Linked DNA regions of Daphnia pulex. The protein of the gene in region 7 purifies or fractionates together with the protein of the main gene of each other region. This does not show direct contact. Links are inferred from orthologs where the notes say so. Each region holds a gene or a part of one and is shown on either strand. Other genes may lie near its edges.

The links.
Region 1: the proteins of protein AAR2 homolog (region 7) and co-chaperone protein daf-41-like purify together in Homo sapiens (affinity purification with mass spectrometry; 3 studies listed by BioGRID and IntAct, with this or other methods). This does not show direct contact. The link is inferred for Daphnia pulex from reciprocal best matches to the Homo sapiens genes AAR2 and PTGES3.
Region 2: the proteins of protein AAR2 homolog (region 7) and protein ecdysoneless-like purify together in Homo sapiens (affinity purification with mass spectrometry; 3 studies listed by BioGRID and IntAct, counting the BioPlex papers as one, with this or other methods). This does not show direct contact. The link is inferred for Daphnia pulex from reciprocal best matches to the Homo sapiens genes AAR2 and ECD.
Region 3: the proteins of protein AAR2 homolog (region 7) and telomere length and silencing protein 1 homolog purify together in Homo sapiens (affinity purification with mass spectrometry; 3 studies listed by BioGRID and IntAct, with this or other methods). This does not show direct contact. The link is inferred for Daphnia pulex from reciprocal best matches to the Homo sapiens genes AAR2 and C9orf78.
Region 4: the proteins of protein AAR2 homolog (region 7) and E2F-associated phosphoprotein-like purify together in Homo sapiens (affinity purification with mass spectrometry; 4 studies listed by BioGRID and IntAct, counting the BioPlex papers as one, with this or other methods). This does not show direct contact. The link is inferred for Daphnia pulex from reciprocal best matches to the Homo sapiens genes AAR2 and EAPP.
Region 5: the proteins of protein AAR2 homolog (region 7) and tetratricopeptide repeat protein 27-like purify together in Homo sapiens (affinity purification with mass spectrometry; 3 studies listed by BioGRID and IntAct, with this or other methods). This does not show direct contact. The link is inferred for Daphnia pulex from reciprocal best matches to the Homo sapiens genes AAR2 and TTC27.
Region 6: the proteins of protein AAR2 homolog (region 7) and probable ATP-dependent RNA helicase DDX23 purify together in Homo sapiens (affinity purification with mass spectrometry; 3 studies listed by BioGRID and IntAct, counting the BioPlex papers as one, with this or other methods). This does not show direct contact. The link is inferred for Daphnia pulex from reciprocal best matches to the Homo sapiens genes AAR2 and DDX23.

Annotation. Positions count from the first base shown.
Region 1 is NC_060018.1:13,104,259-13,107,722, reverse strand, and holds co-chaperone protein daf-41-like, read right to left. Parts: upstream 1,991-3,464; 5' UTR 1,826-1,990; coding exon 1,812-1,825; intron 1,531-1,811; coding exon 1,344-1,530; intron 1,281-1,343; coding exon 1,086-1,280; intron 993-1,085; coding exon 879-992; 3' UTR 564-878; downstream 1-563. Other genes in the region: GRB10-interacting GYF protein 2-like, read right to left, coding at 2,823-2,945, 3,015-3,224, 3,300-3,464. UniProt on the Homo sapiens protein: Cytosolic prostaglandin synthase that catalyzes the oxidoreduction of prostaglandin endoperoxide H2 (PGH2) to prostaglandin E2 (PGE2).
Region 2 is NC_060018.1:5,230,954-5,234,862, reverse strand, and holds the end of protein ecdysoneless-like, read right to left. Parts: intron 3,049-3,909; coding exon 2,961-3,048; intron 2,886-2,960; coding exon 2,707-2,885; intron 2,598-2,706; coding exon 2,456-2,597; intron 2,359-2,455; coding exon 2,179-2,358; intron 2,109-2,178; coding exon 1,983-2,108; intron 1,910-1,982; coding exon 1,729-1,909; intron 1,665-1,728; coding exon 1,350-1,664; intron 1,288-1,349; coding exon 1,103-1,287; intron 1,040-1,102; coding exon 839-1,039; 3' UTR 418-838; downstream 1-417. UniProt on the Homo sapiens protein: Regulator of p53/TP53 stability and function. Inhibits MDM2-mediated degradation of p53/TP53 possibly by cooperating in part with TXNIP. May be involved transcriptional regulation. In vitro has intrinsic transactivation activity enhanced by EP300.
Region 3 is NC_060023.1:10,024,280-10,027,748, forward strand, and holds telomere length and silencing protein 1 homolog, read right to left. Parts: upstream 1,984-3,469; 5' UTR 1,888-1,983; coding exon 1,751-1,887; intron 1,684-1,750; coding exon 1,569-1,683; intron 1,503-1,568; coding exon 1,348-1,502; intron 1,285-1,347; coding exon 1,081-1,284; intron 1,013-1,080; coding exon 879-1,012; intron 814-878; coding exon 641-813; 3' UTR 600-640; downstream 1-599. Other genes in the region: zinc finger CCHC domain-containing protein 8 homolog, read left to right, coding at 59-577. UniProt on the Homo sapiens protein: Plays a role in pre-mRNA splicing by promoting usage of the upstream 3'-splice site at alternative NAGNAG splice sites; these are sites featuring alternative acceptor motifs separated by only a few nucleotides. May also modulate exon inclusion events.
Region 4 is NC_060018.1:7,627,985-7,631,743, reverse strand, and holds E2F-associated phosphoprotein-like, read left to right. Parts: upstream 1-1,684; 5' UTR 1,685-1,829; intron 1,830-1,900; 5' UTR 1,901-1,913; coding exon 1,914-2,413; intron 2,414-2,496; coding exon 2,497-2,746; 3' UTR 2,747-3,183; downstream 3,184-3,759. Other genes in the region: protein MEMO1-like, read right to left, coding at 1-53, 113-217, 274-490, 576-687, 745-857, 925-993, 1,104-1,185, 1,268-1,316. UniProt on the Homo sapiens protein: May play an important role in the fine-tuning of both major E2F1 activities, the regulation of the cell-cycle and the induction of apoptosis. Promotes S-phase entry, and inhibits p14(ARP) expression.
Region 5 is NC_060020.1:293,089-297,578, reverse strand, and holds the start of tetratricopeptide repeat protein 27-like, read left to right. Parts: upstream 1-1,426; 5' UTR 1,427-1,531; coding exon 1,532-1,628; intron 1,629-1,702; coding exon 1,703-1,856; intron 1,857-1,915; coding exon 1,916-2,150; intron 2,151-2,212; coding exon 2,213-2,477; intron 2,478-2,542; coding exon 2,543-2,780; intron 2,781-2,840; coding exon 2,841-2,907; intron 2,908-2,967; coding exon 2,968-3,300; intron 3,301-3,355; coding exon 3,356-3,529; intron 3,530-3,595; coding exon 3,596-3,748; intron 3,749-3,811; coding exon 3,812-3,973; intron 3,974-4,033; coding exon 4,034-4,490. Other genes in the region: transcription factor kayak-like, read left to right, coding at 47-676.
Region 6 is NC_060019.1:356,034-359,942, reverse strand, and holds part of probable ATP-dependent RNA helicase DDX23, read right to left. Parts: intron 3,193-3,909; exon of another isoform or gene 3,086-3,192; intron 2,767-3,085; exon of another isoform or gene 2,750-2,766; 5' UTR 2,739-2,749; coding exon 2,452-2,738; intron 2,394-2,451; coding exon 2,108-2,393; intron 2,039-2,107; coding exon 1,772-2,038; intron 1,705-1,771; coding exon 1,443-1,704; intron 1,379-1,442; coding exon 1,253-1,378; intron 1,188-1,252; coding exon 901-1,187; intron 842-900; coding exon 602-841; intron 534-601; coding exon 270-533; intron 200-269; coding exon 1-199. UniProt on the Homo sapiens protein: Involved in pre-mRNA splicing and its phosphorylated form (by SRPK2) is required for spliceosomal B complex formation.
Region 7 is NC_060019.1:11,511,369-11,515,339, forward strand, and holds protein AAR2 homolog, read right to left. Parts: upstream 2,585-3,971; 5' UTR 2,463-2,584; coding exon 2,296-2,462; intron 2,203-2,295; coding exon 2,087-2,202; intron 2,024-2,086; coding exon 1,907-2,023; intron 1,844-1,906; coding exon 1,549-1,843; intron 1,461-1,548; coding exon 1,286-1,460; intron 1,223-1,285; coding exon 989-1,222; 3' UTR 884-988; downstream 1-883. Other genes in the region: CDGSH iron-sulfur domain-containing protein 1-like, read left to right, coding at 226-265, 355-467, 544-657, 717-806; ubiquitin-conjugating enzyme E2 N, read left to right, coding at 3,245-3,274, 3,403-3,493, 3,567-3,722, 3,960-3,971. UniProt on the Homo sapiens protein: Component of the U5 snRNP complex that is required for spliceosome assembly and for pre-mRNA splicing.

The DNA.
Region 1 (3,464 bases), on a different chromosome or scaffold from region 7:
CTCGGATGGAAATGACTGCCAGCAGAAATGGCAGATGATAACGTCACAATTCTTTTCCTTAAATCTTTTCTTGTAATTCTAGTAAATGGAGTAGCGGCGTCGAATAGGCGTGTCAAAAGTCAAAGTCGAGTGATCATCACTCTTTTTGGCTAGTAGCTGCAGCTGTTGCGGTCGACCTAAACGTACGTCCCTGTACAAAAATGATTCAGCTGCCTCGAGCGACTTTTTGCTCTTTTGATAACGTGATTCGTTTCTTCCTCCACCTGTCCATCCATTTTTTGAAAAAAAAAAAAATAAAATGTTAAATAAAGAATTTTATTTTTACTTCGTCTTTTGTTTGGTTGTCTTCACACATCCACCAGGCCCCTTTATGTCACGCACCACAGAAGCAGAGAAGCGCGCCGGATTCCTTCCAACACCTTCGCGCTGGAAGTTCGCTCACACCTGATTTTGACACGCACCGTTAACTTTTTCACCTGTGCAAAGAAGCGATGATTGGGAAAGATATAAAAAAAAAATCTTGAGGTAAAAAAAAGTAAATTTCTCTCTTTTTTTTTCTCAAATCTTTTCATCTTTTGTTTTTGTATTCGAAACGGCTCACAAGAAAACATGACGAGATGCAAGACTGGTGTACAAATACTTGATTACTCTTCGCCGTTTTGCTTTTGTTTTTGCTTATTGTTGATTTGGAAATGGATGATGGCAAATGCCACGTCTTTATTTTCACTTCCAAATATCGACGAAAATTTGCAAGTTGAGGGCGAAGGATAAATGGAAAAAAAACAAAATGAATTACGGGGCAATAAACAAAAAATCAAAGTAGGAGAAGAACCGAATGGATGAATAGAAGAGGAGCGTACGCGTCCGTTAAATTTCTACTATTCCAAATCGGGTAAGTCTTCGTCATCCTCGTCCTCTTCGCTACCACCAAGATCGTTCAAGTCCATCTGACCGCCACCTGCGCCGTTCAAACCGCCCATGCGACGCATCATCTAAGAAAAACCACAAGTTTTATTGACACTCTTAAAACGCTACCCTTTTTAATTGTATTAATTTCGACAAAGGTATCAGAATCTCTCACGTACCTCGTCGAGGTCTTGGGATTCTTCACCACCATTTTCCTCTGGCTCGCTATCGTCCTCGTCGCGCCACCTATTAAAGTCGATTTTGAGCCAGTGCACCTTCTTCTTGTCCTTGAAAATGGATGGCCAGTAAGGTCCCTCTTCTTTCTTTCGAAGGAAGAATTCTATGCTGCGCTCTCTGACAAAGTACTTTGATTCCTGCAATGAATAAAATTGGGTGAGTCTGCGACGATGCAAACATGAGCACACTATTAAACTTACAGCTGTGTCAATTTCACCAAATAAATCAATCGTGACTTCAAAAGTTTTCTTATCGGGACCTCCTGTTCCTTTAAAGTAAACTTTTGTTGGCTCAAGGGTGATGACTGGTTCCTTGCAGTCTTCGACATTAATAGTCAAAGACACCAGGTTTTTTCTCTGTGCCCACATGGCAGGAGGAGGTAATAACCTGAAAGATGGAATGAGAAAGATTAATTTTGGACGAGTAAGCACGGGCAATGAGCACATGGAATTGATTTGTTAAAGCATGGTTTTCAACTTTTGATCCTGACAAGCCAAATTCACAATCCATGTTCAAATGTCTTCCATTCAAGAAGCAAATCTCAATAGGAAAAACTATGGCAGAATCTAGAAACAAACACCGGCTTGAAAGCCTTATCAACCCTTCGTTAATGCTCATCACGCCTTCACAACCGATTACCAATTTTTGTGTAAGAAAATTAAACTCACTGTTCTGTAGCCATTTTACTGTGAGGAACGACTTGACGAAATTAAAACGAGAGTGAGAAGTTGTTAAAGTGGATGGTTGGACCTGAATAATCAAGAGGACCTTAATATAAGAAAAACGGGCAAAGCGTCAACTCAACTTTTCTTTTCTCTGGAACAATCCTACACGAGGTGATCGATTTACAACGTTGCCAATTCGGGGTTATTAGTGCCATATTTAAAAAAAGATTATTTATAATTTTATTTCTTTGTGAAAAAAAGCTGCTGCTAAATTATATTTTATCCTTGTATTTTTCTAAATTATATTTCTATTTTCGGAAACTGCTTTTAGCTATTTACCCATGAGAAATCAATAAAACTATTTCATCACGTTTTTCTTTTGAATTGTGGTCAAAATCAATGAGAATATTGAACGAAACATCCGGAAATCTCGAGAAAAAGAATACCCTTTTGGAAACTATCCAACAAAATTAAAGTTACCAAATTTCCCGTGGAAACTCTTAAAATTTTTGTGTTTTGTACGGAAAAAAAACAAACAATCCCACGAAAACATTAAACAAGTTGGCACTCATGCGGTGCTTATACTAATGAACTAAACGTTAAAGGAAATGCTACGAGAATTGAAAAACAATTTTTTTTTAAGATGTTTGTATTTGATTCGTGACCAAGATCAAATTGATATTTTTTGATTCAGTGCCGAAAAATTGTAACAGAACAAAATGTCCAGCCCTGATTCTTTTCTGCTGGTGAGGGATAACGAAAAGAACTTGATCACGTTTATATTTTTGTTAACTTTTATTGCTGCCCACCAACTTTCCACACTCAAGACGTTTTGAAATTGTTGCTGTTGGTGTGTTTGTTGCGTAAAACTTGTTGTGTGTCGACATCTTAATTGTCCATCCCTAAACCCCAATAAACAATAATCATATTGGTTGCTTTATAAGTTTGAACTCGTCTCTTGTCGTGTGTGGTCGTTGATTTTATCTTTTTTTTTTGGCTTTCTTTAACAATGATTCACATGCCGTCCACGAAATCGCGCTCACCGACGTTGATGCGATCCGTCGAAGCAGAAACGCTGAATCCCAACAAACTGGCATCCACTTTCTGCATCTTCTTCTTAGACTTCTTGGATTTAGACTAAAACGGAACATTTTCATTAGTGAAATGGTAGAGACAACGTTTTATCTTTTATTTTTAAATAATTACTTTAACTTCATGGAAGTCAGATGATTGTCCCGGATTTATGGCTTTGGCCGGGATGCACATGTTGTCCTCTTCGTATTGCTGGACGTTTCTTTGCATCTGGCGCCAACGAGAACGTTGATCAAGGAATTGCTTGGCGAACTCTTTGGCGTCTTTGCCCTCGCCAAGATACAAGCGAACATACTCCTGGACTTCAAATGGAGATTCCACGTCCTGTAATAAATGTAATCAAGAAAAAAAAATGTAGTCAAGAAACATTAACGACCCGACTCAAAAGATTAACTGTACCTTGAGAAAGGCGACAAATGTGGGCACATCAATCTGTGCCTGGACTTTCTTCAGGTACTCAAAACACCACTGACTAAAACTATCCTTCTTTTCAGCGGCGGCGGCGGCAGTTTGATTAAACAGCTTGCGAACCGCTTCTTCCTCCTTATTACTGCGGTTCTTGTT
Region 2 (3,909 bases), on a different chromosome or scaffold from region 7:
TCAATGTTCCCCGCGGAGTCGCCGCTGAAGTAAGGACTTCGTTATGCACCATTGATGCGGAAACTGCGTAATGGCATCCTTCAAACTTACTCAACTGTATTATCATCAAATCCGTTGAGAACTCGATGATTGGACATTTTGGTATGTTGGCAAACAATTTAACGATACTCAAATTCATTAGAACTACTTCAAAAAGCCAAAAGAATAAAAATAATGGCCAGACGCGAATTAAAATAGCTTGTACCTTGCCCTTTTGACTCCACATTTGTGCGCATACAACAACTTAGCAAAAAAAAAAGGTATTTTTAAAATCTGGAACAAGGATACGGGCTGGAGGCAAACCGTGACTTGCGTGGGTACGAGTAATTTGACCCCACGAGTCGTTCCGTTTGTATCGACTTAATTTACAAGACGTGCTCAGTGTGAATCCTCGTGTATCTTTCAAATGGCAGCTATAACGCCAAAAGACATGGAAGAACGCAAAGAAGGCGAATACATAAATCCGAAATGTATTAGGAATGGAGCTGGAAATGGAAAAAAAAAAAAAAAGTCCCGTTATACAAACCACCTCCACCGAGCGTTGTGTATCACAGAGGGATAGCAGCGACTGGCTTTTGAGAAATGTGTCAGATTCGAAAAGGTGAGGGACCGAATTTTTTAAAGAAAAAAAAAACCGGAAGTTTTTATCAAAAGACGAATCATAATAATAAATTAAACCTCAAATCACCCAATCGCATGGGTAAGAGGAAATAGGGCGGATGAAAAGACATCGATAATAATTACATAGGGAAAGAGTGAAGAGAAAAAGAGGAGAAAAACAAACGTAAGGTCACAATCTTCAGTCGGTTTGTTTTTTACTGGCTGATACCTGGCTCCGAGAAAGATTCAATTGATTCAACAAAATAGATGCAGGACCAGGACCACCACGCTGCATTGTGTAGGAAGCAAGAAGGGATTCAAGAGCAGCAGAATCAATTTTTACGGGTTGAAAGTTTTCCACATCGCTGAAACTCTCACAACCTTCGCTCATGACGGATTCCTGGAAACGAATTCGATGGCTTATTACCAATTGTTTGTTAATTCCACACACACAAAAATTTACCTTGCGAGTAGGGTTGTCTACGGAAGTACGATGAACATCCGTGGTTAACAATTCTTGATCCATTGTTTGCATGTATTTGTTCATCTCCTTGTCTACCAACTCGTCGCCTTCTTCCTCTTCACTGTAGCTGCTCAAACAAGAAGAATTTGATTCCAAATCCCAATTGTCTTCTGGCAGAGCGAAATCTACAAAAGATTTTTTTTTTATTATTTTCAAAGTCCAACAAATTTACAAGAAATTGACGTACCAAGAATCCCTTGCATTGCGGATGCAAAACTATCTGGATCGAAACCAATGTTGGTAGAAAGTTGGGAAGCGTCAGAGGCGTTTGAGAGCGTTGACGTCTTCCTTGAAGGCGGAGCTAGGTGAGAAAGCTTTCTGGATTTCTTCCTGCCGTTGGCCGGCGTAAGACCTTCATAATCTGACGTCCGATTGAGGAAGGTTTCAAGTTTAGGCAAGATATCGGCCTTGGCCTCGTCATCATCATCGACTCCCAACAAACTAAATTTGTCGCCGAGAATTTGATCAAGGGTGGCAGGATCAACAGATAGCCAGGAGTCATCTGTATTGAATAACAACGAAACATGAGTTGCAGTTCTACCAACGTCTTACAAGTGAAACCTTACCGTCATCCGCAGGTAAATGGGATTCTACTTTCTTGAATTTGTCGACATCGGCACAAACAGATTGCATCAGTCTTAAAATGACAGGTTTCTTTGCCGGTCCTTCTACTCCCACACTATTGATGTAAAATTCTCGAGCTTTTTCCATAAGCTCATTATGTGGTTTAGAACCATCGAGGAAATCCTAAAAGAACAAACAGAAATAAAAACACAAATTACTTTGTAAATTTGACAAAATAACTTTCAGTGAAATTTACCTGGAAAAATCCTTTTTCTTTCAGTGTGTTTAGGAATCGATTCCAACGTGAATCCATGTCCAAAGAATAATCGTCGTCTTTTTGGTGTAAGGATTCCTCGTTAGCCAGTAATTCAAATCCAATAGCCTGAAATGATTTGAAAACATAAATAAATTCAAAACAGAAAAGACAAAATCAGATAAAAGAAATTGCGTACAAGTTTCATGCCAAGGTCTGAACCCGTTCGTTTGGAATCGCCAATCGGTGGTAAAGACCAGCCAGTCCTGTGATCTGGCTGGTAGTTACGGTGAACAAGCATAGCATAAAGACATTTTGTGAATGTCACTGACGTCCATACTCGAGTTTCTGGGGGAAAGAAACGCATGGCGCGGATAACCTACGTTACATAACGGGGGGAACAAAATAATTGATTAAACCTTGCCTTCGGGAGCTCGGGTTTGAGCTGACATTTTAACCAGACACTTTTTAAATACCTGCAGTTGAGAGGCATCGCGCTGACAGAATGCATGAATAGCTGGTGCTACAAGAGTCGGATAGGATTGCAGCAAAGCGGCAACACCAGCAGGCACGAATACATTGCAACGGTGAAGACTGGAATCGATTTGAGATACGCACCTGAATTAGTTGAAAGAAAAAACACACACACAAAAAAAAAACCAGGGGAGTTGTCCCCATTACGAAATGGCCTTAAACTCGAAAACAAAATTAGAAATTTCAAATTTACTTGTCAATGCGCTGGTGGATTGGCTCTTGAATGGGAGCGGGTGCTATGGTCAAGTGCGGCATGGAACGAACAATGTGAACAGCGTCCATCAGAGAAGGCTGGCCTGACGGTAAAGGAGTGATACTAGAGGGACGATCAGCTATACTGATTATATGAACTTGACCACCATGGATAAAAACCTGTAATTTTCAGAGTGATAAAATTATAACTTTGTCAAGGAATTCCAAAAAAAAGAGTTAAGCGAATAAACTTACCCTGTTGATGCAAGTTTCTGGGTTGGCCCAACGCGGAAGACTATCGGCAGCTTCAACCAGCAAGAATTCACCATCTGAATCAACAATTCTGTGATGGGGAGAAGAAGAAAAACAAAACAAACAAACAACAAAACTGGTTAGAATATCAATTGTCTAGACCATCCGGTTAAATCACTAATTCAATTATATCCGCAGAAACGGCGGACCACTGGCGCGATGCTTAGTGTAATTGATTGAAAAAGTTGGAGATGCCAAAAATAGTCGCTTACCAATTCACAAGGTTTTTTTCTAAAATAGATTAACTGCGAGTGCGGCAAAGCCAGCAGTTGCACAATTTAGAGCATGTTGGTGACATGTTGGAATTGGGTAAGTAATCAACGGCGATTCACGAAAACAATTTATCGCTTGTAGGGGACAGGAAAAAGACTTCCTGACGAGAGAGTGCAAGCGAATATAAAAATAGCACAGAGGCGGCGATGTGGCAAAGAAGTGGGGAAAAGAAAAACAGGAGAGATAGAGAGGAGAGAGAGAAATGGAGAGCTCCTGTTGTGTCTACGTGAATGGAAGTTCGGCGGACAACTGAGGACTTCAGGTGGACCCGCACCTTCCTTTAGAGTTGCCTTTGAGTAGTGTGTCCAGGGCCGACTCAAGCGGAGGGAGGGGGGGTAATGGGTGGAGAGGGCGGGCTACGGGAGGTGGGAGGCGATAGGGGGAAGAAAGAGGGAGGTAGGAGAGAGAGAGAGAGAGATAGAAACAACAGCCGACAAGGTCAAACGGAAGCCCGGCCGCAGTGCGCCAGCGCTGCAGCAGCAGCAGCCGTATAGCAAGTCAGAAAGAAAAGAAAATAAAGAGCAGGAAAAAAAAAAAAGAATAAATCGTTCAGCAGTCCCGCTGCTGCCCACACTAGACGTTAGCTTTTGAGAGGTTTGATGGATCCCCCTAAAAAAAC
Region 3 (3,469 bases), on a different chromosome or scaffold from region 7:
TTGTTGCTAGATAAAATCGTTGAAATGTTGTCAAATAAGTTAAAATTCCTTATTTTAGGAAATCGTTGACATGGATACATCCATAGAAGACCTTGAAGAAAAGCGCCAGGCATTGCTTGCTGAGTTGGGAGATGAAGACGATGACTGTGTTATTGAAGAAAATTTTGAAGGGAGTGAAACCACTAACCCAACCAACACAACAACTGGCATCGTTACTGGGGACACATTGAAAGAGAGTGGATCTCCCAACCTAACCAACGAGGTTCAGGAAATGGATATTGCTGCAGTGACGATTCCTACCTCGTCAATATCAGATCTACCTCTAAATATTGAGTCACCAATCAACAATCAAGACTTGTCACCGAAAAAGAGCAAGCTCTTGGCAATGGGAACTCCTGTCTCTATACGATATTCACCTTATAATATCCTACCTTCACGAGACAAGTTTGCGCAAAATGGGAAACTTGGGACCATGGGTGAACTTGAACTATACGAAAATCTTCCAAATAGTACGGGCGCTTTTCAAAAGATGCGATCTTTACTTCAAAAGGCGAAGCAAATGTTTAATAGGAAATAAATGGCACTGAAAAATCGTTTATTTGAAAAATGTATGTATTTTTTTGAAAAATTAAGACTTTCATCATCTTCGGAACTGTCGCCGGAACTTTTCGAAATAAAAGTCGTCGCTTGCCTTATCATGCTCTTTTTTCCCACCGACATTGTCTAACCTTTTAGGTAACTCTACAGGGACGGCTGGTTTGACAGAAGCTTCAGCACGTTTCTTACGTGGGGGGCCAGATTCTTCAATATTAACTAAAAATATGTAAAAATATGATTAGAAATTTTTAATTAAGTATAGATCAATAATAGAAAGGTACATCTGTTATGCTGGACAAAATTAACGGCCATGTTAGTCGGAACAAACATTGAAGGACCATCTTTTTTACGAAGTCTTTCTTGAAGCAGCTTCTGTTTTGCTTCTTCAGTTGCTTCAATATTCTTAATTTTGGCCCTTTAATAAAATAATTATGAAAGTCATTGTAAAAATTTTTAATATAAAAATGTTTTAGACTGGCATACTCTATTCCTAGATCTACTTCCGGAATTCCGCTAAGCATCTGGTTGGATAACATTTCTTCAGATTGGACACTAGATTTCACTCTCAGATATTCAGGTACTGACGAAAAAGCAATTTCTTCAGGAGTCAGGTATTTATTACTTTTATCTTCATCCTCTTGCATTAGACCTTTCCTTTTTGCAAGTTGCTCCTCAATATACTTCATCCTAAAAAGAATAAACATTTTATAACTGAATTGCAAGAGTTGTAAATGAATAATATTTACACACATTTCTGCATCTTCATCTCGAGTGTTGGTTTCCACGGAAAACTGTGTACCAATTCCAGTTTCATATGCATCATCAGCAGATGAACTATTTTGCTTTCCAGCTTTAACTGCCTTCATATCAGCCATTCCACCAGTTGTAACTTTGAAGGGATCATTCTTTACTTAAACAAGTAAACTAGTTAATGCATGATCTTGTATAAATTTCTATATACACTGCCTTACCACTGTAACTTCCTCTTCAACAGTTATTCGCTTGCCAATTGCCAATGCCACAGCACTAATACCGTGGGGTCTCTCTCTTAACTTTTGTAACTCTTTTGTCTCTTCCAGCTTTAACCTAGAAAATTAGGAAATTAAATATGACAATACATTTTAAATTATATTATTTATAAGAATGTGCATACAACACGTCGAGCTCATCACTGCCACCAGCATCATCGTCCTCTTCAATTTCGAGACGTTTTCTCATAGGTTTTCTACTTGGTTTCTTGAATTTAAATGTTAGAGAAGCTTCTCCCGAATTATCACCAATTTCTTCCATATTTTTTTACGATTTGTTTAATTGTTCTGTAACTTAAAAAGGCGTCCCGTTCTTTTAGACAAAAACAAAACAGAAGCAGTACAGTGACATACAACCTTGACAGATTGCCGATATATGGGAAATTCGGAATCGTATTTGAGTAATTCTTCAACTTGACCAGAGTGATAGGTATAAAAATATTTTTATTCTTAAATATTTAAATAGAATTATTCTCAAATTAATGAGTCATTAAATGAAGGAATAAACTGACAAAAACTGGCAACAGTTAGAGCTTACTCCATCTCACGGTGTCATGCAAATGGCGACCATTGTTGTGCATTTCAATTTAGAATATTTACCTAAACATGCTGAGTTTGTTGGAGTGGGATTGGAATAAGAGTCTTCATTAAACTTACTGTCTTTTCGTTTTATTTATTAGAAAATAGCATTATAGAGTTTCCTCAATGTTTTTGTTAGTCAAGCACAGATTTCAGCTTTTGCTTCTTTCTAAGTGTTAAAAAATCATTCCTTCCTGAAGCCTGAAATGAATCTTTTGATAGCACAAATTGAGTAACCAATATAAGTATAATATTATATTATCACCTTATTTATACATTTTTCGACAGAATTTTGCGGAATTTTTCGTAATATTTGTTCTTTTCATTTTGCTTTTTTCCTATTGCTATGTTTAAGGGGGCACTGGAAGGATAACGTTGCTTGAACCTAATCACCTCCTACTCTTTTTGAATTTCTAGAAGAACTCTTCCGCTTGATCCTAAACCAAAGACGTGTACTTCACTGTGATCAGACTCTCTTGCCTTGACTGCAAGATACTCGGTGAATCTCCGCCTGCCGTAAGCATCCTGGCTTCCTGGAAACCTTTTCATCTTCTAAGATGAAGAATTTTCACGATTGCACTATTGTGGAATCCTCGAGTCGTCAAACATTGCATGAAGCTCAGAGTTGTGTATGTCTCTCTTGCTGCAATGTTTCTTGCATATGGATTGGAATACCACTCCTGTAGATGGGATGTCTATAGTTTCATGAGCAGGAGGTGTTGGTGTGCCAACCCATCAGGAAGATCAGAATTATCTTCTTCTCCCTTAAGGAAATGTAAGTTTTTTCGGTTTTGTAATTTGTGCGTTTTGTTGATGTAATTAATTATATAAGAACGTAAATGCGTGGTTATTTAAAGTTTTAGTTGGGATTTAGAGTTATTTTCCGCTGTCTAACTATCCATAAAAAGGTCTATAAGAGCCTGAAAATGAAGACAACGTTAAGGACATTGTAAAATTAAGGTCCTCTTTACATCAGGCGGCTGACCCAGCTGAAAATCGTTTCCGAGACGTTAAACAACTTCAATGAACGCAGTAGATTACGACAAATTATAGACAAATGATTTAAATGTCCTGTAAATAATAATTGTGCCTTGTGTAAAGGTACACAAATTTCTGTCTGCTAATATTAATTATTTGATAGATATTAATTTTAATATACCTCCATGTTACTAATAGCTGGAAGTTTGTCTTTTTTCGAGAACATCGATTTGATCCATTATTGCGTGGTGAGATACTTTCTTTTATGTCACTTAAGTGAGCTCTAC
Region 4 (3,759 bases), on a different chromosome or scaffold from region 7:
AACTTGAGTGACATTTTCAAGCCGTTTGTGGTTTGACGGATATGATCTATCATCTATAAAAATAGATAACAATTAAAAAACTTCACTAGTCTGACAATACAAGATTTTTTACATTTAACAGGACTCCGATTGGATGTCTACCGCATATGGTATTGCCGTATTTTTTTAAATATTCGGTGAATCCAGCCGTATCCAGTGTTTCAATGATGGACATACCCTGTTCATTTATGGCACAGTAAATATTAGTAAATGAGAAGGGAAAAACGATTATACTTCTCGATCTAGCCTTTGGATAGACTGGAAAATTTCTCCGCATGCTTTGTCATAGTGGGTGTAACGAAATCGTTGACCCCAGTGGCAAAAATCCGATGAAACGACGAAACAGTTGTTGGGGTCCGCGAGATACTTGGAAAGGAGTCTTCCGTAGTGGGTTTCACGTTCCGGAGACAGCGATCCAACCAAAATTGGGACAATGGTAAAATCTCTGTGACTAAAAAAACAGCAAGATATTTGAAAATGAACAACATTGCAATAATTTGCATGTGAAGAATTCTGATTGCAATAAATTCACATACTTTTCAAAAACTTTGGCAATATAAGGCAGATGCATTTCAATGCTATGCTCATCTTCATCTGTTTCCAGATTCATCCACTCAAAGCAGCCAGTACCCTGTAGTTCTTTATACACTAAAAATAATACAGACTAAATATTTTCCCTTACAAAATTGTGAAATATAAATTTACCCTGTGTATCAATGGTGAGATCATAAAATGGAGTGCGGTATTTGGCTACAGATGAGAGGGCACATCCAGACAGCCTTACATGATGGGAAGGCCCTAGAATAAAGACACGTTTCCTGTTCCAACAACATACACACTGATGGGAAAATAAAAGGTAAAAAAATTTTTGAGGCTTATTTTTACACATTTGTAGGATCAATCTGTTTGTATGCAAAACCTGCACAAGATCCGCAATAACGATAGCCAGCATGCCTGTGGTAAAATAATAAACAGCTTTTGTTAATTTTCGCACAGGAGAGACTTTCACAAATTTATATTTTATTGATAGAAGTAAAAAAAAAATAATCATTTAAAAAACTTACGGTGCAATGATAGCCCTTGCTGGTCCATGTGAGAAATTGGCTGCATCTAGCCACCCATCGAGTTGACGACCAAGTTCCTTAGCTAGGAAAGGGTAAATATGATAAACAACTAAAATATGATGTTTTTCCATTTAAACAAAGGAACAAAGATGTGTCAATATTACCCGAATCAGAATACCAGCTGCCAGCGTGGGATGCTTTTCGTACGGACATGTTAAAAATAACCCTTTTTTACGTAATCTTTAATCTAAAGGATATCACCAGTTCTATTCTCGATTAAAATTATTTAAGAATAGTCCTATTTCCTAACCCACCTAGCAGTGTACCACCACTGTACACAATGCAACCAGCCGTCCTTCTCACACAAGTGATTGAGGATTGGACCATTGGGGGGTGAAAGCAGACCGACCGAAAGCAATCAACGATGCGAAAAATTAACTATTACAGAAATCGAAAATTCCAGGAAAAGTTACATGATTTTTATTTTTAAATTATTTTTTAAAAATCCTGATAGATTTTTTAAAGCTTTTTATAGGCATTAAATCAATTTGAATGAAATTTTAAATCAGTGGCAGCTATCGGCCTATCGCCTGAAAGAATCGAGTTATAACGATGTCAACAAAGAATTGACAGAAGGGCACATGCTGATTTGCTTAGTTATACGTACGTAAGACCATCGTTTAATGCTTGTTGATGAAAACAATATTGGTTTCTTGTGTAATAACGGTGAGTAAAACTTTTAAGAGTGTGAAGCTAGTTTTCGCTGTATATAAAATACTTGTTTTCACCGATTTCAGCTCTTTTTCCAAAATGGATTCAGATGACGACTACATTGTCCAACAGTTCAGCGATGAAGGAGGCATCGATTCGAGCGATGACGATGAAATGGTTATGAAAGAATTTTACAAGCAATCAGAGTCTGGGGGAAAAAAGTCGTTGAAAGATTTTCAGGCTGAAATGAACAAGGAATTGGAGCTTCGTGTGGCAACTTATCTTGAGAAAGAAAAAATTCAAGATCCAACAAAATTTGGGAGTGATGTTAAAACAGAAAGCAAGTCAAGAGATCACTACTTTGACACTGATTCTGAAGAAGATGTCGAAACAGAAGATTCAACAGCTCAAGCACAATCTAATATGGAATTATTTTATGATCCTCAAATGGATCTCAAAGATGAATCCTATGTACAAAAGCAGCGAGACATGTACAGAAAGAAATTCAAGAATCAGGCCAAGCCCAAACTTTTACCTAACAGTGATGCGGTGTTGAACTGCCCTGCATGTTTTACAACTTTATGCCATGACTGTCAGAGGTAATTATACGACCTGCTTTTTAATTAATTACATCATAAGACTTTGCTGAATCTCTTGTATTGACTGAATGTTAACCTTGTAGGCATGAAACTATCAAAACACAGTACAGGGCTATGTTTACTTTTCATTGTCAAGTAGACATGAGTGAGGTGATGAAAATTCCTCTGCAGTCACAGAAAAACCGTTCCAAGAAGACGGCGTCAGATGAACCTACTTTCAGTGGGTCTGAAGATGTTTATCATCCGGTACGGTGTTCCACGTGCAACACACATGTGGCTATGTTTGATAGTGATGAAGTGTATCATTTTTTCAATGTCGTTACGAGTCATTGAATAAAGTCCCGTCTGTTATTATTTTTGTCAGTGTGTTGTTAAACTTGTGTGTGCACTTAAAGTTATTGTAATAAGAAAATCAAGAGTCTTCGAGGACAAAAATTTTGTGTAATCGCCACACATCAAAAGGGGGAGGAGAGGAAGTCACAATTTCTTTTCATGTGAAAAGAAAATAAAATAACGGAAGGGTCAGTGGGCAACGGTTCACACACCCAAAAGTAATATTCCGCACTGTGCGAACAAAACATGGGATTTTTTTAACCAAAAAACTAATTAATGATGTGAAACGCTGTAAAACGGGTGGGAATCAAATGATTAAGAGGAATATTTATTCAAAATAATTCCTGTGTGTCTGTGTTATCCAATCGACTCGGCTACCATCAAACCCCTATCCCAGATCCCTATCGAATTCGAAATTGGAAAAGATTTGCACAAAATAGCCTCAAAAAAGGGGAAAACGCAAAAGCATCAACAGTATGGGGGGAACGAAAAATTATACCCACAAAGAAAAACGCGAAAGAAGACGAGACCCAAAAATCAATGCACAAAGATTGAAAAAACGGGAAAGGGAGGAAGTCCACGTCTATTAATTTTTTTTAAGTGGACAAAATTGGTTGTGTTTTATCGAGGAAAGAGGTTGGGCGGATATAACACACCACAAAGAATTTGAAAATAATTTGGTTGTTTCTAGGGCTCGAAGATGAATGTGTCTCAGTCATCGAACGGATGGATTTTTCTAATTTATGGGATAAAAGTTCGGAGGGGAGGAGGAATACAATGAAGAAAAACATTCAAAAATAGAATGAAGAAAACTGGCCGACTCCAAACATAAAAAATTCTTCCTGCTTTTTTTTTCACACTCGGCAGATTCATCTAGAATACTAATTCTATCAAAGAATGATGGGCTTCTTTTTCTGCCATTCTCTCACACCACTACCCAGCTCAGCCGTTGCTCGATTTTGTGTACAGATGGTTCAAAAACAACGAAAATTTAAGGGATGAAAAAGAGCAAA
Region 5 (4,490 bases), on a different chromosome or scaffold from region 7:
TTTGTAGAAACAAATGCAAACTGTTTTTTCTTTATTCCGTCTATAGGAAACGGAGTTGTGGGAAGACAAGAAACAAATCTTGCAGAATGAGATCCGTCAGTTGCAAAAACACAAAGAAGAGCTGGAACAGCTTTTGGATTCTCATAGACCTCAGTGCAAGATGATGAGAAAGACGGGCCATTATCCGTCGAACAACAAAGCACCTCTACTTCCCGCTATGCCTAACCTAATGCCGATACCAAATGTCCAGCAACCCCAACAACAGCAGCAACAACAACAACACTCCCACGTTCAGCAGCAACCAATCAAAGAGGAACGTCACGAAAGCGATGAATCTTCATCAGACGGCGTCGGCTTAATCGAGTTCACCCGACCTACCATAGCACCACGCCCTCGTCCTACAACGCTACCCGTCGCTTCCCCCTTTACAAATGCTCCACCGCGTAATTCTAGTTGGCATGAAATCGCCGGTATCGCAATCACTACACCTTCATCCGGAATCCCTGGATTCAACTTTGACTCGCTCATGGAGGGTGGGACAGGGCTCACTCCCGTTGTGCCTAGCCCATCGTGTGGCACTCAGCAACAACGTAGTAACGCAGGAAGTAATGGAACAACTCTGCCCGTTGATTTGTCCAGTCCTGAGGCTGTAAACCGAAAACTGGTTTCACTTTGATGCGTTTCTTAGTAGATAATTATAATCTGAAGTTACTTTTTTAGGGGAAAAACTGGGTAAAACTTATATGAGGTTGCAAATAGATTTGTATACCTTTTGCCCCCTATATTTATTTTTTAAACAACTGAAAGAAAACAATTGTAGTATGTTACATACTAAAAAAATTCTTCAAGCTCATTCAATCACTATCGATTGACCTATGCAAATCAATGTCTTTAAAAGCCTTAATAATTGCGGGAATCGCTTTTAAAAAATTTCTTCCTACTATTTCTAAGTTTAGTTTTTAATCCAACAGAAACTAACATTGGGTTGTTTGAATTCACACGTGGTTTACCCCTTTGCTCTCCCACAGGACCCTTTTGCATTCCCGTTGCTCCACTAGTCTCGAGCGATTCGATAACGAGCGCCGTTTCTTCTCCTTTTTTTTTGTTAGCTCCCGTCCCTTGGTTTTTTTTCCTACGCAGAATTTATGTAGATTGGCTACAACGAAGTCTATTGCCAATCCATGCCTTTATTTGTTTTCAAATTGTATTTTGTCATAAAATCGAATGCCACCCTTGTATAATCCGCTTACATTGATGCAATAAACAACATTTGATAGCTTCAATTTTGAACGATTCTTTATAATTGCTTATTAAACTCAAATTGAGTTTAATTGAGTTGCTCTATATGAATATATTCGGAAAACCTAGGTTAATGAGTCATCATGAAGCAAGATGATCCAGTCATCCGCATTCCGCTGTTTAAGAAAAAATTATCGTCGTCTGCTAGTAGACATTTCCCACGTGTTGTTTCAATCTCGAGCGCGCTTTCATCTGCGACATTTAGGATTACATTTTTCGAAGCCCACAGAAAATGCCAGAAGTGTGTCGAAAGCAAGTAACTCTTGAAGTAGAGCTATCCCTATTGGATCCTCAACTTAGATCAACAGATCTGACACATTTATGTGATGGTGAGTTTAATTAATGTGACAGTGTAGTACTCAGTTAAAAAATGACATGATTTGACAGCTATAAAATTTTTTAGATCTCAAAGACCTGATTGAACACATCCAAAAAGGAAACTTTGAAGATGTTCTAAAGCACTGTCCAATTAGGATTTTTGGAGCAGGTATTCAACAATCATCAATCAAAGAAGCAGTTGAACGATTTTGCCATGATAATTCAAGTGATGAAACCAGGTAGAATTGATATTATATAAATTGAACAGCAGTAATTCTTATATTATCAATTATTTCAGTTTATTTCAGTTGCTTTGCATTGGGATATCTGCCTTACAGCGCTTTATTCAAAGTAACTGGCTTGGATGCAACAAATGGGAAATGTCATCTGATGATGACATGATAGACAGTGCATCCAAAGAATGCTTAATTATTGATGCAGAATGCTTATTTCCCACCATTAAAGACCTACAATTGCTCTTGGCTGCAAAAACCATCTTATTTGACTTCAAGGAACAGTTCATGCACTTCAAGGTAATTTAAAGTTGTTTAACAAATTGAATAGCAAATTGATTCTCATTGTATTTTATGAAAAGCTTTCAGGTTGGTGGCTTATGAGGTATTTATATGTCCACCAACGAGTCTTAGAGGAGTCATCCCAATTGCTGCATTCTGCATTCCTTGAAAACATTATTGGCAAGATTGATCAGCTTGAAGAATCACTTGGAGGTAACTTGCTTTTCAGCTCTCTGCTGCAGTTGGAGCTCGGTTACACCTACTTGCTGTATGGTGAAGTGCAAAAAACCAAACTTCATTTTGAAAAAGCCAATGAGATTGTTGGTTTTAGATGTGAATGGACAGGTAGGTTACAAAATTTAAAACATAAAAAACACCCCAAATATGTTGAAAATGTTTGTTTACTAAAGGGGCAATGGGGAAAAGGACACAGTATCAACAAACTCCGCTACCCCAATTAACGATCAAAGTTCATTTCAACATGGATGAGGCGCTGCTGACAGATACTACCGAACGAGCAAGTGATCTGCCAAGAGACGTACGATTAGAGGATGACACCCGTTTGAATCACATCGCCTTTATCAACAAAGATGACAATATTCTCCCTGATCTTCCTCCTCTGTACCAATCTCTTTTGATTGCTCATGCGTAAGGAAAATTCTAACTTTTGTTCAGTGGCGTAAATTAAATTTATGGATTCTGTTTTAGAACTCAAATTGAAAAATTCCATCCTAAAGATGACCTTCTTGGAGAAGAACTATCACCTTTACTAAACGTGAGACAAATATTTCCATTTTTTTTACAGTAACATTGAGTTGAAGAATATGTTTTACAGTGTATCTTAGGCTATCCAAAAATCTGGTCTTTTCATGTCAGCTCTTTGGTGATGCGCTCCAAGTTGGAGTCTACGCAGCGCCGCGCTGTTGAACGAGCTCTTTCTCAGTTGCAAGAGCTAGCAGATTCTCTAGCAAAAGTCAGCCCTGATGCACATCGTCGAATTGAATATTTTTATGTTTCGCGAATTCCGCTCGAGTGTGAACTTCAAAGCGAATTGGCCGAAGTTCTTAAAAGTCTTGGAGCAATCAGCAGTGCGTTAGACATTTATATTCGTCTCCAGCTGTGGGATGGTGTTATTGCTTGTTACCAACAACTCGACAGAAAACATAAGGTAAACTCGTGTTGTATCAATAAATCCTCAGTAGCTTGTAAAATTTAACATTTAGGCAGAGGAAATTGTCCGCCAAGAATTGGCAAAAGGTGAAACACCCAAGCTGTGGTGTCTACTTGGAAATTGCACTGATGATGTGACATATTACGAAAAAGCATGGGAATTGTCCAAGCACTCGAGCGCTAGAGCTCAACGAGATTGGGCAATGCACTTTTACAACAAAAAACAGGTCCGATTTTTTTATTATTTACTTTTACGAAGCTTTTTGACTTACATTAAATTTGTCTTTGAATAGCTTCGCGAAGCTATCCCCCACTTTCAAGAGTCCTTGAGAGTCAATGGATTACAGGAAAATATCTGGATTCGATTGGCCTTTTGTGCTATGGATATGGAAGACTGGGAAATTGCCGCCTCTGCATACCGTCGATATTGCGGTCTGAACTCTGAGGTATGTGCTCTAAACGTTCACAAAAAATTAATTAATAAATCGTCAACGTTCACATCTTCTTAGTCGTTTGAGGCTTGGAATAATGTAGCCAAATGTTATGCCAAACTGGGCCAGAAAACTCGGGCTTGGAGAGCTTTGCAAGAAGCTGTCAAGTGTAACTATGAAAATTGGAAGATTTGGGACAATCTAATGATCGTATCCATCGATTGCTGCGAATATGAAGAAGTAAGTTCCTTTAATCGTGTTGCATCTGAACAACATTTTATCGAGTGATCATATTTATAGGCCATACGTTCGTACAACCGTATCCTTGAACTGAAAGAAAAACATGTCGACGTTCAAGTGCTGAAAATATTGGTTCAAGCAATCGTGGAGAACAAAGAAGATAATTACGGCCAAGAAGTCAATCGACTCGGTGCAGTTGTTCAAAAACTTTTTGGCCGCTTAACTTCACAGGTGACCAATGACGCACAAGTTTGGGAAGTGTATGCCGATCTTTTGGCTGGCAACGGAGGTACGGAAACAACGACGGCCTTTCGAGTGGCTCAACTCATGCAAAAATCCTATCGAAGTGCCATCCAGGAAAAGAACTGGGAAAAGGATATTGAATCTTGTACGTTTACTCTTAGGTTGTGTAGAAAGTACGTAGAAAGTTGTCTAGACTTGATGAATAAGGATTCATCCAAAGAAAATTTTCAACTTGCTAGTTCTGCAAAACTAAGTTTAAGGTCTGCTATAAGCC
Region 6 (3,909 bases), about 11 Mb from region 7:
TACGACCGATACGATGCGTGTAATCCTCGATCGTTTTGGCCATGTCGTAGTTGATGACCAACGAGACATCCTTAATGTCGATACCACGGCCGGCAACGTCTGTGGCCACCAGGATATCCTTGGCTCCTGACTTCAAGTTGGAAAGGGCAAATTCACGCTGCTCCTGACCCTTACCACCGTGCAGAGTACAAGCATTGAACTGTCGAAAGAATAAATAAACACCTTAAATGAATTCAACTAGACAAAATTTTTAAATTAAAATGCCTTACGCCAAATTTCTCCAGGCCCTTGGCCAGTACATCTGCTCCCTTCTTTTGGTTGACGAAAATGATGATGGGAGGTTCGAGTTTTCCGCGGCGCAGAATTTCCATCAACTTGTTGCGCTTGGCGTTCTCTTCAACCATGTAGACGATTTGCTCCGTCCGTTCCACAGGTTTGCCGGCCGAGCCGATGTAGACCACAGCCGGACGTCTCAGGTAAGTTCGAGCCAATCGCTCCACCGCCGAAGGCATGGTTGCCGTAAACATAACAGTCTGCAAAAAGGAAATAAAAAATGAGGTAAATAAACCAGTCTGACGTTTAGAATTAACCAAACCAATACCTGTCGGAATTTATTCTTGGAATTGAAATTGGCCATCAGCTTTTGCTCGTCTTCAGCGTCGTCGTTGTCCGGCTTCTGATTTGTGACTGGCATGTGTTCCAGAATCTTTTGCACGTCGGGTTCGAAACCCATGTCAATCATGCGATCAGCTTCGTCCAGCACAATGTACGTGCACTGTGACAGCACCAAGTATCTGTTCTCCAAAACGTCAATCAGACGACCGGGAGTGGCAATCACGATCTGTTAAAAGTAAAAAAGTCAATGAAATGAATAAACTGGGATAGGATAAGAGAAATTACCTCGCAACCCATTCGCAGTCTGAAGCCTTGCTCCTCCCTGGATAGACCACCGATGACGGCAACCGTTCGGATGCCCAAATGCTGACCGAATTTGATGCATTCTTCTTCGATCTGCTGAGCCAACTCACGAGTAGGAGCCAAAATGATGGCGTAGGGTCCCGAATCATCGTCACCCAGGCGGACGTTCTTGGGAAGCGACTGAATCCATACGAGTAAGGGGATTAAGAATGCGGCGGTTTTTCCTGATCCTGTTTCAGCCACACCGATAATATCTCGGTTCTTTAATCCTGAAAAAAATTCACGTGAAATAAGTTTACTTTTTCAAACAGATAAGTAATTATTGGCAACGTACCAATGGGAATGGCTTGACGCTGGATGGGAGTAGGATCAATGTATCCAACTTTTTCGATAATCTCCAAAGTTTCCTTGTTGAGATCAGAATCAGCCCACGAACGGTACGGATTAGGAATTTTGCCACCTTAAAAAAACCAAAAGACATTAAGTTAAACATATTAATTAATCAACAAGTTTAGGTAACATACCTTTAATGGTGATGTTGTAATCTTCTCGGAAGATACGCCAATCACGCTCAGTCATTTCTTCGACCTTTTTCTCTTGCCAGTGACGGTCGTCCCATTTCTGCTTGTCTTCTCGTCTTTGTTCCTTCTTCAAACGGACCTTCTCCTGGGCCTTTTCAGTGTCTGTCCGGCGTTTGTCCAACATGTCACCATAGAATTTCGACTGGTCTTTCTTCTGGGCTTTGATGTCAATTCCGGCCACATGACCACGACCGTAAAATTGGACCTAATCAACAAAATAAAGAAAACGTTAGAATTTCACCTTTTAAAATTTATATCAAGGGTCTTCTTACCTGATGTCTTTCCTTGTAGATTGGGTTGTAGTCGACGGCAGTGTCTTCTGCCGCATCCCATTCGAAAACGAATTTACGTTCGTTCAGCCTGCGGACACGTCGCTTTTTCTTGGCCATGCCCAGGTAACGATCCTTGATGGCATCCATCTCCTTTTGCTTATCGCGGTCTGTTTCACCATCTTTACGATCTTTGGTCTCCTTTTCGCGCTCCCTTTCTCGATCACGTCGACGATCGCGTTCTGGTTCCCTGTTGGTCTCTTTAGCCGCCTAAAATCAATTTTAAAAGATGTCGTGTTAAATCTAAAATAACAAATAATGTAGGATATGAATACAAACCTGAAAAAAGGCATTCCGTTTTGATCTTTCCTCTTCTTGCTGTTTGCGTAGATTTTCAACTTCCTCCTGTCGCTTTCGCATAGCTTCGGCTGCACGTTCTTCTTTCGTGAGAAACTTGGGTTTGCTCTTTTCCTCTTCTTCGGCTTTCTTTTTGGCCAGCAATTCTTCCAGCGACAGGGGCTCCTTTTTAATCGCTTGCTGTTCAGTGTTTTCTTCACTTGCTTCCTGGTCTTTTGCATCTTGTTCGGTTTTCACATCTTTACGATCTCGACGGTCCCTTGGTGACCTAATTAACAAAAACAAATGAATCAATGGACAAATATAATTAAGGTTAATTTCATTACCTGGATCTGGATCTACGTCGTCTTGCTGTTCGATCACGGCTACGAGAGCGACTGCGTGATCTTTTCCTTTCGCGTTCTCTTCTCTCACGATCACGATCTCTGGCAAGATCTTTGTTGTCTCGATTATTGCCACGGTCACGATCTTTGTTGTTATCTCGATCCCTTTCACGATCTTTGTTGTCACGTTCTCGCTCGCGATCTTTGTTTTCTCGCTCTCGATCACCTTCTCTATCTTTATTGCGGCGATCTCGGTCGTCGCGAACGTCTCTTCGATCCTCGTTGACCATTTCTGATTATTCTGTAAATAATCAACAGCTGTTTTAAACAGGTGAAACGAAAAAGATGATAATAAACTGTTAAACTACAGATCCTTAAGTGTCAATCAATTAATTTTCCCTATCTAGTTTGAATATACTACAGCATGTAAAACGAATTTAGTGACAAGAATTTAAAAACTTCAATCAAGTTATTTTCTAAACAAAATAGGCCCCAATGGTTCACAAAGTTGAAGACTATGTTCTAGAAGCTTTTGGCGATTAAATCAAACATGAGGTATTTTAATGTCACCCCAATAGTAAAAACACGTTGCAAGAACATTTATAGTTTTGCTAGTAATTTTTTCACGTCTAATTACCTTTTGTTTTCCTTTAATAATATCCGAAATGAGCTATCACATAAGAAACTTCGCACTTTTTGTCAAGACCACCGCATCATCAATGTGTAGCAGACGACAAAAGCGTTTAAACAACGTCACGATGCCAGACTGGATTAATTCGAAAAAAATACTGCAGCTTATTTTCATTTTGTTGGAAAAATATTTAACGTAGAATTTTTAAAAATTGATAAGAAAAATACATCAGTTATTATCTTGATGAAAATTGGCGGACGTGAAATTGTCGTGCGTGTTGGGAATTTATTGCATCCCAACAGTGATCGACATTATTGCTATTGTTAATTCTGTGTAATTTGTAGGGACCTCAACAGAGGGCCCCAATTTTACCCTCTCTTCCCATTCAATCTATTGTTCCCTACCCTACTCAACCCTAAACCAACTATTGAAATACCAAAATGCTGTATTATACGGCAGTGTGAAATATAAGGACGAACTAGCAACAACAAAGGTGTCATCTCTTATCTCAATCTTGGAAGTTGAACGGTCGACACCGCCAACAAGAGTTCCATTTCCAACATGGTCCTTCGAACTGGAGTTTTCTCCAACCAGTGTTAAGTTAGTTTCGCTCTATCACACTCAAATCTTTCTCTCGTTATCTCCTTTTGCTTAATCATTGCCGCCATTTATCAAAGAAAATTGTGTTTAATTATGGCAGGTCAGTCATTTATTAGAATCTTTTTCTCTCTCTCTGAGTTTAACTTGTTCTCAGGGGTCTAGTAAGCAAATAGATCCCTCTAAACAGTAAATTATTTTTCTTCTCTCTCTTGAATTAAAGCTAAAATATT
Region 7 (3,971 bases):
CCACGATTCACTGGGACTGAGACACATTACGCCTTCAGCCGTTCACTATTTAGAATTTACCGTTACCGGGATCCCCATCATGGCTAACCTATCAGGTAAACCTCTTCTTTCCTTAGATTTTTGACGTTTGACTGCTTTGAAACGACTTGATAGCTGTCTATGCCATAGTCTGTGTCTCTGTGTCTGATACTCTGATTGTCGCTCAGTCTATCTTTTATTTATATAATGGATTACATCTCAAATATCTTTAGTAGTCCTTTAGGAAGTAAGAATGTTTAGTGTTTAAGACTTACATAAAAATTTGTACATAAAATGAGATTTTTATTTATCTTATCTTTTGTATTTAAATTTCAGTTCGAGATTTGGTATGCTCAGCATCTCTTGGGGTTGCTGCTGTTGGTATATCACTTTTCATCTATGCCAAAGTAACAGGCACTGGATTTTGTAAAAAGAAGTGTGATAAAAAGGTATGGATTCTCAATATATTTTGACTTTAGAAGATAATAATCTGAAGTTTAATTTCTTATACAATTCTTTATACAGGGCAGTGTGGTTAATCAGAGTATTAAAAAGGGTGATTCAAAAGTAGTTGACACTTTTGACTTAGAAGACATAGGGGACAAGAAAGTATTCTGCCGATGCTGGCGTAGTGCTTCGGTAAGGAACTTATTATGGATCAAATTAATTTATCTTATATAACTTTTATCCTTTCCTAGTTTCCCTACTGTGATGGTTCACACAACAAGCATAATACAGAGACTGGTGATAATGTTGGCCCACTAATTGTTGGAAAGAAAAGCAACTGAACAAGCAATCTACCATGTGGTAGTTACTGCCCATCTCTTTAGTAGTTTTTCATATATTTAGTTATTATTACTACTGGTTTTCAGCTTGTAAACACATTACACATGTATTGAGGAATTGAGGAAATTTGTGTACAGTATATCATGGTTGAAGTGGTTGAAGTATCAATTTTCTCTTAATATTATTACATACTTTCATCCAACTCAACTAGTACTGGTGCTTCATCATTTGGTTCAACATCAAAATCCCATTGAAACCTCTGTGTTACAAATTGCTTCAACTGTGAGGCTCTTCTTTTAAGCTGTCTGTCAACAGCATCATTTTCCAAAATATTTCCAAACAAAACTCTTAAAGTTTGAATGAGGAAGTTTTCTGATGAGATTATGTCAACAAAAAAATCTGGAGATACTTCTTGCATCTAAAAAACAATATATTTTAATTAATAATTTTAGTTGAAAATTGTGTTTTCTAATGTCATCACCTGAAAATAGATATCCCCAATGAACTCCACAATTAATGATGGATTTTTCAACAGAATCTCATCAGCAAAACAAAAAATACGAATCACGTTCTTCCAGTGTTCAAAAGCACTGTAAACTTGTCCTATCAAAAAACACAAAAACGCCATTTGAAGTTCAGCAAGCATTTGATTGGGTCTAAACAAGAAAATAATTTATTATTAAATACAGCAAACTATTTGGTATTTTTTACGTTCCGAAAAATAAATATTAAAAAAATGCCGACCTTTCCCAAGTTGACAGCATTTGTTCCAGTAAATAAGATGTGTCAATGCTATGTTTAGTGATTTCCATGGCACTTGATCCTACTGGATAGAAATCAACAGGGACTTTGGTAAAATTTAACGCTGTGCCTGGCTTTGGTTGCATGTGCGGTAGTAATTCATCTTCATAATTTGACCTCTTTATTCTTTTTTCTTTCACTGGAGATTCTGCTGGTGCTGGTACATCTTCTGATGAAATTAATTCTGTAACTGATGAAATCTTTTGCTGAAGGGGTTCCACTTTCCCAACTACATCAGCTAAATATTAATTGTTAGACATTTTATTTTTGTACAGATTACATAATGTATAAGAAAATATACTTGTCAATTTACTGCTGAGAGACATCCATTTCTTCCAGGTATCAAATGGATATGGACCCAAGTGCTGATCAAGATTTTTTAAATTGGCTTTTAAACTTTCTCTTTCTTCATCAGTACCTATTATGGATAAACACTAAATAATAAATTAATATTAAATAATGATTTATAAAATAAAATTACAATCGTTGATGACATCTTCTATTTCTGGGTTCCACTTACGGACCACAACTTCCTTCTTATTGAAGTTGTAAAAGAAACCTGTTCTTGGCGCTACGGAACCTTCCTTGCTTACAGAGCTAGAAATTATATAAAAATATACAATCACATTTTGTACCTCACAGTGAATGTTACACTCACACAACTGTTCTAACAAAAAATAACTTATTTGCCTGTAATAAATATAGTGAATTCCAGGGGGTATCATTTTTATGCCTTTGAATTTTTCGCCGGTTCTCCAACTGTTGAAATCTATTCCTACTTCAGTCCCAATTGGTACGCCAAGAAGAAATAAAAACGCGCCCTCTTCAAATAATTTGTTAGCCAATTTTTGATCCATTCTTTCCGTGTTTGACACTTGATGGTTTATATTTTAAAACAGAATGAAGCTGAGTGAATGAAACCACGCAAAAGCAATGAACGAACAATACTAGCAGACGACAGTTTAAAAACAAACAACATGGAGGTCAGACGTCAGATCAGTACCGGATGCCGACTTGCCGAGTTAAATTCTAGCAATTTTGCATAAAAAAAGGGAATAAAATTAACATGAAGAAGGATAGGAGAAGAAAGTGATAAAATAAAAAATTTTATGTGTTGAAGCCTGCCATTCAATCTTAATCATGCCTTATTAGTTAATTTGCCCTTTTTCAATTTATTTCAACTTTCAAGTCGAAATTCTTTCTAGATGATTCATGAAAATAATTAAAATATTCCGCAAACAGAACAGCCAATTAATCTAACCAAAAAATTTTTACTGGTCATTTTCTACGGTTCTGAAATAAAGGTTTAAACTCATTTCCGGCATTTGAAAAGCAATACCTTTTGTTTAGCTTTCTCGTGTATTTCCGTTTGTAAACCAATTCAAATAAACTTTGTTCATTTTAAATAAATCGTCTTAATTTGAAAAATAATATGTTTATATGTCTAATTCTTCCCGTGTGGCCGGGTCGATCTCCTACCGATTTTCGTCACCAAACAATTTGACAACGTCTTAAATTAGCAATAGGGCACTCGTATAGCGTGAAAACTTTCCGTCTTCTCTATTTGGCTTTAAAGTTACCATCTATTATACGAAAATCTTATTTTATACTCGTTGTTTGTTCAACAAATTGATGCGAAATGGCAGGCTTACCTAGAAGGATAATCAAGGTAACACAAATCTTAATTGTAGACTTGCATCAAAGTGGGAGGCAACGTGTTTTTTTCTCCCGATCCTATTATGGGACCGGTAGTATTCTCTAGCAATATAGTATATTCGTCATTAATTTGATCAATAGGAAACTCAACGTTTGATGGCTGAGCCTGTCCCAGGCATTAGTGCAGTTCCAGATGAACAAAATGCTCGTTATTTCCATGTTGTGGTTGCAGGTCTGTAAACTTAAATTGCAACCTTAAAGTGTCATTCTGGTACTGACTAGTTCATATTGATTAAAATTCATAGGTCCAGAAGGTTCTCCATTTGAAGGTGGTGTTTTCAAATTGGAACTATTTTTGCCTGAAGAGTACCCAATGTCTGCACCTAAAGTGCGATTCATGACAAAGATTTATCACCCTAATATTGATAAACTTGGCCGAATTTGTCTTGATATTCTGAAAGGTGATTATTTTTATTACTTTAGTGTTTGCTCTATCAAGATTGTCAAGTGTTATGTGTTCTATGCATGTATAATCTTGTGTTTTGGTTATCAGGGTATACCTGTATTGTTATGACATTTGTGCTTTGAATTTTTAAGTAACTGGGGAAAAAATCAGTTTTAACTTCAGAAAGTTGCATTTGCTTGAAAAACTTAAGTGTGTGGATTTGGCTTTGTTTAATATTTTCTAATATTTTCAGATAAATGGAGTC